Linked DNA regions of Oryctolagus cuniculus. The protein of the gene in region 1 interacts with the protein of each later gene in a biochemical or structural test. Links are inferred from orthologs where the notes say so. Each region holds a gene or a part of one and is shown in the gene's direction. Other genes may lie near its edges. The genes, in order: STAT1, PRKCD and MCM5.

Region 1 (3,642 bases):
GGAAGTATTACTCCAGGCCAAAGGAAGGTGAGTGGGGTTGCGAGGAGAGCAGCACACGCGGTCCCCCGGTCCCCTGGTGCTGAAGGGCTGGCTCGCCGGCAGCGTCAGCAGCCACACTGCCTTTGTCTTCAAGGGGAAGGAGCCAGCACAGGCTCCACCCAGCCTGTGACATGAACCCCCCACTCCCTTTGAACTGCTACAGGCTGCATGCATGCATGCACAGGGTGGTGTGAGCTCAGTGCAGCTGAAGTACAGTCATTATTTGGTCTGATACAGTCAGTGAGAAACGAATGGTTAATCTCCTATTTTAGGGGTGTTGGAAATGTCCATTTGTGGTTTGTGTATCTGTTACACATCACTTTTTCCACGTGGAAAGCGGTAAAGTGTAGGGGACGTGGCCAACTTGCTCGTGTTAAACTTGAGGAAATGGAGGCCAGGGAGGCGTGGAGTGGTTGATTCAGGCTGACCCAGTTAGTCACTAGATCCTGTCGTCATTACTGCTTACCATCAAGAGGAGACCTGTCTTAGAACACAGATCTGCTTCCACGGTCAGCCCTGAATTGTGCTCGGGAAAGTTCCCAGTAAGACCCATCTGGCTTGGAACACACCAACAAGGCTAATTAGTTTTGAGTCAGAAATCTCAATATCAGGACAGTAACTTTGGAGTGAAGATGCTGTCTTGATAATTGTGCAATGCATCCGCCAGGCTAGCACCACCCGATCAGAGACCTTTGTGTGTTTTAGGGCTCCAGCTTCATGTAGGACTTCAAAACTTGAAAAGAGAGGGCTGCCAGTTAGACTGCTGCTGAGATCTCCTCCCGTTTTCTTCTAGTTGCTTATGGGTTCCCGCTGGAATTCCAGGTGACCCAGGCAGCGAGGTCATCGTGCTTAAAAGCTACAGGCCTCTAAGCTGTCCGGGACAACAGTGGCATTTTGATCCATAAACAGTTGATCCTTCACCGTGTAACTTCTTCTAACGCAAAGTGTACACGATGTGTTTGCTTCTAGGGCAAGAACCCATGGAACTTGACGGCCCCAAAGGAACTGGATACATCAAGACTGAGTTGATTTCTGTGTCTGAAGTGTAAGTGCACACGGAAGAGTGGCATGTTTAGAACCCAAGCCAGCCTGCTCCTGGCTGGGGCCTGCTGAAGATGCTTGTACTTCGCTTTTCCATTAAAATTGCTATCGCCTTCACAGGTGGACTTGATGGAAAGATCCTAACTAGAGATCCCAGTGTCACTGACTCCCAGCATTTTACTGCATTTAAACAAAAACAAAAACAAAAACAAAGTTGTCTTTAAGGTATATAAATTCTCCCAAAACGAATCCTTTGAAACAGCATAAATAAAATGAACAAAAATTGATCAGAGTGAGAAAGTAGTTCTTTTCAATCTAGAAAAGGCCAAAGTAATGATTGAGATACATTTTCTCCGCTTGCTTTTATTTTGTTGTTTCATTTTGTAAAAGGTAGAAAAAATTTTGGAAAAGTCATTGTCAGTTATTTGGCGTGCAGCACTGTCTTGGGGTGAATGGATGTATAGCCATCATGTAAAACCACTCTGTGGAGCAGCTTTATCTGCATACAAACCTCAAGGTAGGGATGAGGGACTCCCCAGAAACTTCTCTGGTGCTTTTCTGTCCAGGGCAAGCCCCGAGGCACGGTCACCTGAGGTGACACACTCGCAGCTCACGCCAAGGCGTAGCCAGAGCAGAGGCCGCAAGCTCCCGGCTGGCTGCTGCTCGCTCACATCTCAAGAGGCCAATACATTCCTCCAGGGGCCGGGCTGGGCGCATTCACCTCCCGCAATATGATCTGTACTTTTGCAGCTATGCTTTTCAAGTGTAGAAACGTCCCCAAAATAAACATGTAGAGTGATAATCCAATCACAGACCAGAGCCAGGCACATCCCTTCGCACCACCGCGTTCCTAATGGTCGACCGTAACATCTCCCTTTCCTTTCTCCCCTTGTAGTCACCCTTCTAGACTCCAGAGCACAGAAAACCTGCTGCCCATGTCTCCTGAGGAGTTTGATGAGGTGTCTCGGATAATGGGCCCTGTAGAATTCGACAGTATGGTGAGTACCGCGGCAGGTGGGCCCCCAGCCTCGGTGAGTGTGTGCCTGCCAAGGGGTGGTGGTCCTGGCATTCAGCACCTTCCAGGACGTCAGTGCCATTTCAGAGTTTCGCCCTCGGCCTGTGGTGCTGTCCCTGTAGAAATGTCACTGCCACTTCTCTGCTGGGAAAACCCCGTCCGTCCGCCCGAGCGCGTCCCGGGGTCCCCGAGGAGTGGGAAGGGAGCGAGGCGTGCAGTGGGGTGCTCCCAGGGTTACACCTCGCCAGCAGTAGTGACAGAGCGCGGCTGCCCGGCGTCCAGGACCCAGGAGGGGCCTGTGCAGAAGCAAGCAGCTCAAGGACTGAAACAGTTAATGAGCTCCATGATGGGGAAGAGAGCAGGACTGGCCACACAAAAGAGAATCTTCCCTGGGGGCATGGTTTTCCAAGCGACCAGGGAAGTGCATTGTGTGCCCTGCAGCCTGAAATCCTGCCTCTCCGAGGTTTCCTTTGGTTGGCTGAGTTTTTGCTGATGCTGTTTTGATTTTAAGCTCCTTTCCACATGGAGCTATGCCAGTTCATGTTTAAACCTTTGGTCCCTGCTTTTTTTTAAAAAAAATATCCTGCGTGAGTCATTCCTGGTCTGTCTTCCTCACTGTGTACTTGGTCCCCAGTAAAGAATGTGTGCGCTCAGTAACGCGAGAGGAAGGCAGGGGGGAGGGGAAGGAGGAGAGAGTGGGCGGGGGCCCGGCCATGCCCGCTGCCCCCGGGCAGCCTCGGCAGTAGCTGTGGACGCTCTTGCTCTAGCATGGGCTAAAGCCTGGAGGTCGCGTGTCTGAACCTTTCCCGCATCTTGAGGATGAATGAGGTCATTAGGAAAGCGCTTGGCTAGTGTGGGAGCAGCTTGTCCTGTTCCCGCTGGCCAGTGTAGAATGACCCTTTTCTCCAGGGACCCCAGCATCCTCTGTGGGGCACTGTTACGCCTGGACAAAAACACAGCCAGCGTAAAGCCCCCCTCAGGAAATCTGAGAGCTGGCAAAGAACAAAACAGCAGCCTCCTGTGGGGTGACTCCGTCCCCCCCAGCGCCGCCCCTGATGGGACACTTCCTAAGCGGTGTGCGGGGCACTTCCGGGACAGGGACTCAGCTGGTCCTGGTGACTCAGGTGCGGCTGCTGTTCCCATGCTCAGAGCCCCTCCCCCTGCTGCGTCACTTGACAGGAGGGCTCCGTGTCCACCCAGGGGGAGCGTACTCGAGCCGCGTCGACTGAGCCGCGTCGACCGCCCTGGGCAGCCTCCTGCAAGAAGCCGGTCTTTGCTTTGTTCAAAACGTGCGCCCCTCGGGAAGCGTTTCCCTCTGTGTACTAAGAGGAGGCAGCGTGGCCCGTGGATGAGGGGCCTGTGTTGGGGATTTGGCAGTGAGAGTCCAACTCCGTCATCACCGTTATGCCTGGTGACCTTGAGGAAATAAGATGGATTAATTCTCTCCACCCGTGCAGCCGCGGGACTGCTTTCTGTCACAGTGATGCCCTGAGTCCTCGTCTTCTCAGGAAATGGGGTGCTCTTTGGCAACACCCCCTGCAGCCATT
Region 2 (3,742 bases), on another chromosome or scaffold:
ACTTGAAATGGGATTGAGTTCCATGTCTCTGCCAGTGCTATCCATCCCTGGAAGTCTCAGTGGACAACCCGCTCCTGACAACCCTGCAACCCACCTGGTCTGGCCTCTTCTCCCTGTCCCTCCTCCACAACCTCAACCCAGGTTCCTCCCCCCTGAACAAGGAGCCAGCCCCTCCACTGCCATCCCATCTCCCCCTCTCTGCCCCCGCTCATCCCTTCAGGAGCACACTTGAGCTTGTCACTCACCACTCTCCCACTGCACCTTAAGAAGCTCAAAGCCCTGGCCCAGCCTGCCTCTGCCACAGGCCCCTTGCTCAGCTCAGGCCTCTTCAAGGACTTGTCCCGCTCGTCCATCCCTCAGGCCTCAGCCGCATGGGCTGTCGGGACTCTGGCCATTCCCTCAAGGTGATGGTGGTGCCCGCCCAGAGCCCAGGAACCTGGAACTCTCCTTCTTGCCGCTGGGAAGCGACATTTCAGGAGAATGGACTTCTTGGACCCCAGCTGGCCCCCAGGCTTTGGGGCCAGGGGACACTTGGTGAATGAATGAAGGAACGGGTGAGTTACAGCTGACATCCGAGTTCCACGTGTGAGAAGGACGCTCAGAGGCCTGCCAAGGCCAATGGGCAGCTCCGGAGGGTGGGGGCAGCAAAGCGGGAGGCGGGGAGTCGGGGCAGGGGCAGCTCCTCAGATATCCGACAAGCAGAAAGGGCAGCGGCACAGCCTTGTCCTGGAGTCCTCCCAGCTCGGTCTTTAGGGCAGGGCAGGACAGTGCTGGGCCGGCAGGCCTGGCGGCGGGCTCTGATCCCGGCCGTGTCCGCGCTGTAGCCAGCAGCAAGGGAAGGAGCGAGGCCAGACAAGGCGGGCCAGCTGATCGGTGGGGAGTCCCGGGCGTGGGCGTGCGGACCCGGGGAACCCCCGCGGGCGCCTCCCGGCCGGGGCGTGGTATGACCACCACGGACCTCCGTGTCCTCCTCAGTCGGGGGGCCGACGTGCGTGCTGGCGGCGAAACTCGGGCCGCGGCGGGCCCCAGAGGACGGCGAGGGCAGGACTCCAAGCGACCCGCGCCCCGCGGGCTCCCGTGGCGGGGCCTCGCACGGGGCGGGGCCTCTCGGGGCGTGGACTTCGGGGGGCGGGGCCAGGCCGGCACCTGGGTGAGGTCGCCCCGCCCCGCCCCTCGCACTTCCGTGTGCCTCGGCGCGGATACGGGAGGTGGCGGCAGAGCGCCGGCTCCCGGAGCGACCCTCGGCGTCCCTCGGTCCGCGCCGAGACCCGGGCCGTCCCGCGCCGAGCCCGCTCCGACTCCGTCCAGGCGCGCCCGGGAGCCAGAGCCCGGCGCCAAGACCCCTGGCGCCAGCGCCCCTCAAGAGGTGAGTGAGAGCCCGGCCGGGCGAGGGATCCGGGCTGCTCCGGGACGCGCCGCCCCTCCCTCTCCTCCGCGCTCCGGTTCCCGTTTCTGAAGCTGAGAAACTGAGCTGTGGCCGGCGAAGGTCCCGCCGCGGACGGCTCCCGGCCTCCACCCGCGGGTGTGCCCGGCTCCTCCGGGCGTCGGTCCGTCCCCCGGCCCTCCAGGCCGCCCCCTCGATCTTGCCCGCCCGGGGGCCGAAGCCGGGCCACCCGCCGGGCTTCCCCTCCCGCTGCTGGGTCCCGGGGCCGGCGCGACCCGCGGCGCCGCCTCCTGGCGCCGGCGCGAGTGATCGCCGCAGTGTCTGTCTCCTGCAGGCTTCGGGTGGGGCGACCCCTCCCCCTCCTTTCACCCCCGGGCCCCCTGCCCGTCCAGACCCTTCGCCCCTTTGAGCCCCCTCTTCTGGTGGCCCGGGCCTGGTGAGGTCGGTCCCCGCCCCCCAACCCAGACGCCACTCCCCTTGGGGGGCCCCAGCCCGCTGAGGGGAGGAGGTGGATGAAGGAGGTGAGGACTGCCCCCACCTCTGGGCTCCATCTCTGGGGAGGGGAGAGCCCCACTGAGCATCCCACTTAACCCGGTCACTTCTCTGCCCTCCCATAGTTACCCCTAGGCCTGAACCCTTGTCTCTGCGCTCGCTCGCTGTTGCCTGCATCAGGGTGTGGGCGTGTGTGGTGAATCTCTGCCTCCTTGGGAGGTCCACGCTGTCTTTGTCACAGTGTGTGTCTTGTGTTGGGGTCAGTGTGTGTCTGGCAGTCGTGTGTTGCAACACCCCATGTGTCATGGGGACCCCCTGGCCATGAGAGTGTGTTAGATGTGCTAGTTGTGGGAGAGCCTGGTGTTGGGGTGCCGGCCTGCCCCGCTCCTGTGTGAGAGTGTGCGTGTGTGTGTGCACTCACGTGTGGCTCTTCCTCTCCCTCTGCCACAGAGCTGCCGTGCCCAGGCTGACCTGGTCACCAAGGGAGGGGACTGGTCCCTTGGGTTTCCTCCTTCCTGCTGTGGACAGAGCTGGGGTGTGGAGGACAGGCCGGCAGAGGGCGGCTGTGCCTGTGTGTGTGATGTGGAGGTGGCTGGGCCGCCGTTCCTGGCAGCGTGGTGATGTGAGGCATACGTGTGACAGGGCTGCGTGGGGTGGTATGGGAGCTGATGACTGGGGGGACACTCAGAGTCTGCAGGAAGCTGCACACGTGTGCTTGGGGAGTGACCGACTCGGGGGGACTGAGAGTGGCTGGGCGTGGGTACCAGCGACAGGAGGGGGTGTGACAAGGTGTGTGGTGACAGTGCGAGGAGGCAAGGTGAGAGCCTCAGCGTGTGAGCCTGGGGGTGGCCTTGAGTGTGTGTGTGTGTGTGTGTGTGTGTACAGGCTGCACATGGGAGCAGCCCTGGCTCCTGGGGCGGTATAGAAGGCCCCAGGCAAGTCTCGGGGTTTGTAGTGCAGTCCCCAAGCCTCAGAAGGACGCGGCTGAGCCCTTGCTGTACTCATTCAGAGCAGGAGACCCAAGCCAGGCCTCTCCCCAGCTTAGTGTCCGTCTCTGCAGCACGCAGAGAGCTGGGACAGCTACAGGTCCCAGGGCGCACCCCACAGCGGGGGTGTAGCACTTGCTAAATCTCACCTGGTGACCGCCCCAGCCCTGTGGTCCCCATTGGTCCGGGAGCTGGGGCTAATGAAAGCCCAGATAGTCCCCGACCTAATTTCCTGCCCATCCCTGGGGAGGGAGCTGCCTGCCAAGGGAGTATGGGGTTCTGTTCTGCCTGCAGGATGGCCCCTGCCTCACCAGCCCCTGCCCCAGCAGTGATGGGGGGAGGGTGCTGGGAGGTGGTTTGGCTGTGTGCAGGGCGCTGACATCATTTAGCTGGCACAGCTAATTAGAGTTTAAATTAAAATTAGAAATAATTTAAAGCACAGACAAAAAGATAATGCCCTACGGTACTTCTGCCCCCCCAGGGGTAGTGCTGAGGCCTCCAGCAGGGTGGGGGCTGCCCTCTGGGGTGGGGAGTCTTTGTGGAGATCTGGCCTGCAGAAGATGTGCTCAGCCTTTCAGCCAGGAGACCCAGGGCGCTTTTCTGTCTTCGCCATTCCTTCCTTCTAGGATAGTAGCTCCAGGCTCAGTTTTTTCAGCTTTATAATGGGCAAGATAATAAAGTGAGAACCACCCAGTTCCCATATTACTTTGGTTGTAAGGTACTAAATAAGTAATAAAGAGTTACTGTTCATTTTTAAACATATGGCCAGAGCTACGTTTATCAAAATTTTTTTTTAAAGATTTGTTTTATTTATTTGAAAGAGTTACAGAGAGAGGGAGAGACAGAGAGAGAAAGGTCTTCCATCTGCTGGTTCACTCCC
Region 3 (3,742 bases), on another chromosome or scaffold:
GCGCACCACCTGCCCCTTTGCTTTGATCTCAGCTCTTAACTCTGCCTCATTTTTGGAGAGTTTGCAGGGTCTAAGTGGGTAAGAGTGAGACCTCCAGGGGCTGGATCTGGGCTCTGGCACTGATGAGGTAGAAATGTGATAAAGTAGCTTTAGAGAATGGGAAGTTTATTTCTGTCTGACATAAAAACGTGGAGGTCTGTGGTGGTGGACGGGTGCGACGGTTCTTGCTCAGCTGTCTCGTGGTCGGGGCGGCTGCGGGAACTCAGCCATCACCACCACATCCTAAACAGCGGGAGTGGACGGGGCAGAAGGGTTCCCCTTGCAGGGCGCGTCCTGAACTTGCCACGTGGTGCTTGGACTGAGAGCCTGCTGGCCGCACGTTGGTCCCACAAACACGCGTAGATGCAGGAGAGGCGGGGGTGCTAGACTGAGCGAGGGCCCTGTTAGGAAGATCGGGATAGCTGGCAGTGCCCACTGCAGTCTTACCCCCTAGGGCACGCACCTCTCAGGTGCCAGTGGCGGGCAGGGGAGGGACGCAGGGCTGAGGCCACCCCGCGTGTCTCGTTGGCGCCCACAGGCAGCTGGAGGCCATCGTGCGCATCTCCGAGGCCCTCAGCAAGATGAAGCTGCAGCCCTTCGCCACGGAGGCGGACGTGGAGGAGGCTCTGCGGCTCTTCCAGGTGTCCACGCTGGATGCCGCCTTGTCCGGCACCCTGTCAGGTGAGCAGGTGTGGGCTCCCTGGAGCCGTGTGGCAGGGCCCCGGCGCGCCGCAGGCCTGCACAGGGCGCTGCTGCCCTGCGTTCGCTGGGCTGCTCTGAGCTCCCTTCTGGCAGCAGCACCTACCTCCCTGTGTCTCCCCAGCCGCCCGCCTCCGAGGGGAGGCGGCCGCTTCTGTTGGACCCCTGGACACGTGAGACCCAGCTCAGGAAGAATAATTTTAATTCTGTTAGAATAACTGTAATTCTAGTTAGAACGTTTGTCAGTCCCCTTTGTAGAGCTCAGAATATTTTTAGCTGTGTCCCTAATGTGGTTAAGATTTGTCTTATTTATTTGAAGAGTACACACAGAGGGGGATGGGGGGGAGGTCTTCCATCCACTGGTTCACTCCCCAAATGGCCACAACGGCCAGGGCTGGGCCAGACCACAGCCGTGAGCTTTATCTGGTCTCCATGTGGTTACAGGGGCCCAAGCATTTGGGCCATGTTCTGCTGCTTTCCCAGGCTCATTAGCAAAGAATTGGATCAGAAGTGGAGTAGTGGGAACTCAAGCTAGCACCCGTATGGGATGCCGGCATCACAGGCAGCGGCTTAACCCGCTGCGCCACAGCCCTGGCCCCTGGCCCTTGTTTCATGGTGCCTAGGCTCGTGAGCTCTCACTCTAGAGGGGGAGATGCAGTAAGGAAGCAAATGGGAATTCATGTCGAGGTTAGGTTTGGGGGCAAATGATTGCAGAGCCAAGTGTGTAGGAGGAGGGGCGCTGTTCTCATCAGCTGGTCCAGTAGAGTTAGCGGGGCCTCGGGAGCTGACCTGTGTGAGGGGAGCGCAGGTGGAGGGAATGCCAGGTCAGCAAGCCGGGGAGGGAGTGGCTTGCCCATCGGGGAGACCACCAGCAGCCCAAAGTGGAGAGTGTGAGCCTCTGCCTTGGGGGGGGGCTCCGGGCACCTGCCACAGCTCCAGGGCAGCTGGCTCCCCTGGGAGATCCTGACAGATCCCTCCTGGCTCCCCTCAGAGATCACTCCCAGATCCCCTGCTGGCTCCCCTCAGAGATCTGACAGATCCCTCCTGGCTCCCCTCAGAGATCACTCACAGATCCCCTGCTGGCTCCCCTGGGAGATCCCTCCTGGCTCCCCTGGGAGATCCTGACAGATCCCCTGCTGGCTCCCCTCAGAGATCCTGACACATCCCCTCCTGGCTCCCCTCAGAGATCCTGACACATCCCCTCCTGGCTCCCCTCGGATATCCTGACAGATCCCTCCTGGCTCCCCTCAGAGATCACTCACAGATCCCCTCCTGGCTCCCCTTGGATATCCTGACAGATCCCTCCTGGCTTCCCTGGGAGATCCTGACAGATCCCCTCCTGGCTCCCCTCAGAGATCCTGACACATCCCCTCCTGGCTCCCCTGGGAGATCCTGACAGATCCCTCCTGGCTCCCCTGGGAGATCCTAACAGATCCCTCCTGGCTCCCCTGGGAGATCCTAACAGATCCCTCCTGGCTCCCCTCAGAGATCACTCACAGATCCCCTGCTGGCTTCCCTGGGAGATCCCTCCTGGCTCCCCTGGGAGATCCTGACAGATCCCTCCTTGCTCCCCTCAGATCCTGACAGATCCCCTCCGGCTCAGACTTGCTTCAGGACTGGCTCCTGCTGCCCCGGCAGCTGCAGGGTCCTGTCTGAGGTCCTGTCTCCCCAGGCCGTGCTTGTTGCTCCCGCAGGGCCCCCTGGCGGCTGCACGTGGCAGTGCAGAGTCGGCCTGCTAGCCTCTGTGCCTCTGCACTGCTGGCTCTGGCTCTCAGGCCACACGCTTCCTGGGGTTAGAGGCTCTCCTTAGAGCGGGCAGACGCCTGGGCCCCGTCCACCTTGCCTCTCGCCCGCAGGGGTGGAGGGCTTCACCAGCCAGGAGGACCAGGAGATGCTGAGCCGCATCGAGAAGCAGCTCAAGCGCCGCTTTGCCATCGGCTCGCAGGTGTCGGAGCACAGCATCGTGCAGGACTTCATCAAGCAGGTGGGCCTCCGGGGCGGCCGTGGCGGCTGGTCCCGGGCCAGGGCGCGGGGGCTGCTCCGCTCCACGCAGCTCCGCGGGAGCAGTGGTTCTTGTCTTGGCCCTGCAGAGAGGTGGCTGGGTTCCCTCTCGCTGGCTTCTCACGGTGGGGAGCAGAGTCGAGTGAGCTCCCCGCTGCTTGGGGAGGGTGCTGTTGACCCCGCAGAGAGGAGATGGGGCCTTCCAGATGCCGTGCGCCTGAGGGGGCCTGTGTGGGAGGTGGTGGCACACCTGGTCTACACAAGTGGGGCCTGGAGAGGTTGGGGAGTCAGGCGCCTGAGTTGTAGCCACAGGACTCGATGAGGTTGAGCTCTGCGACCCTCAGCAGATGACTTAGCCACTCTGTGCCTCAGTTTCCACGCCTGTAGGCGTGGGACTAGCGGCTTAGGGTTGCTGGGGGTAGATGAGCTCTTGGGGGAAGAGTCGGGACAGTGGCTGGTGTGCTGTGGGTCTCAGAAATGCCGAGCCTTCCTGGGGTCAGAGGGGAGCACGTGGGAAAGGCGCCCGGGAACAGGGGGTGTGGGCTCCCTGGGGAGGCACGCCTGCACCCAGCTGTGTCCCCACAGAAATACCCGGAGCACGCCGTGCACAAGGTGCTGCAGCTCATGCTGCGGCGGGGCGAGATCCAGCACCGCCTGCAGCGCAAGGTCCTCTACCGCCTCAAGTGAGCCCGCGCCTGCTGCTGGCTGCCGCCGGGGACGTCACTGTCGCCGCCGTCACCACTGTCACCGCCATCGCCGCCGCCGCCGCCCCGCCGCCACCCTCGCCGCCTCCAGCAGCTGCCTCTGGCAGTTCCGGACAGTGTGCATTTGGAATCTGTTGGGTTAATAAAGTGTTGTGTGCTTGGGCGTCTGGGCTGCTGCTGCACGTGGTGGCTCACCCGGGTCTGCCGCGTGGGCTCCCGGACAGGCCCTGGAGCTCCGCACCACGGTTTCTTGGTCTTGGTCTGTCCCGCGGGGGTGTTGGAGCGGGTGAGACTGCAGC

Evidence for each region.
Region 2: of the proteins of STAT1 (region 1) and PRKCD, one has a biochemical effect on the other in vitro, tested with the Homo sapiens proteins (2 studies listed by BioGRID). The link is inferred for Oryctolagus cuniculus from reciprocal best matches to the Homo sapiens genes STAT1 and PRKCD.
Region 3: the proteins of STAT1 (region 1) and MCM5 form a complex in vitro, tested with the Homo sapiens proteins (2 studies listed by BioGRID). The link is inferred for Oryctolagus cuniculus from reciprocal best matches to the Homo sapiens genes STAT1 and MCM5.

What each region holds. Positions count from the first base shown.
Region 1 is NC_091434.1:49,332,881-49,336,522, forward strand, and holds part of STAT1 (signal transducer and activator of transcription 1-alpha/beta), read left to right. Parts: coding exon 1-27; intron 28-1,008; coding exon 1,009-1,084; intron 1,085-1,975; coding exon 1,976-2,078; intron 2,079-3,642. UniProt on the Homo sapiens protein: Signal transducer and transcription activator that mediates cellular responses to interferons (IFNs), cytokine KITLG/SCF and other cytokines and other growth factors.
Region 2 is NC_091441.1:96,637,546-96,641,287, reverse strand, and holds the start of PRKCD (protein kinase C delta type), read left to right. Parts: upstream 1-1,165; 5' UTR 1,166-1,366; intron 1,367-3,742.
Region 3 is NC_091442.1:112,980,132-112,983,873, forward strand, and holds the end of MCM5 (DNA replication licensing factor MCM5), read left to right. Parts: intron 1-577; coding exon 578-720; intron 721-2,594; coding exon 2,595-2,722; intron 2,723-3,324; coding exon 3,325-3,426; 3' UTR 3,427-3,683; downstream 3,684-3,742. UniProt on the Homo sapiens protein: Acts as a component of the MCM2-7 complex (MCM complex) which is the replicative helicase essential for 'once per cell cycle' DNA replication initiation and elongation in eukaryotic cells.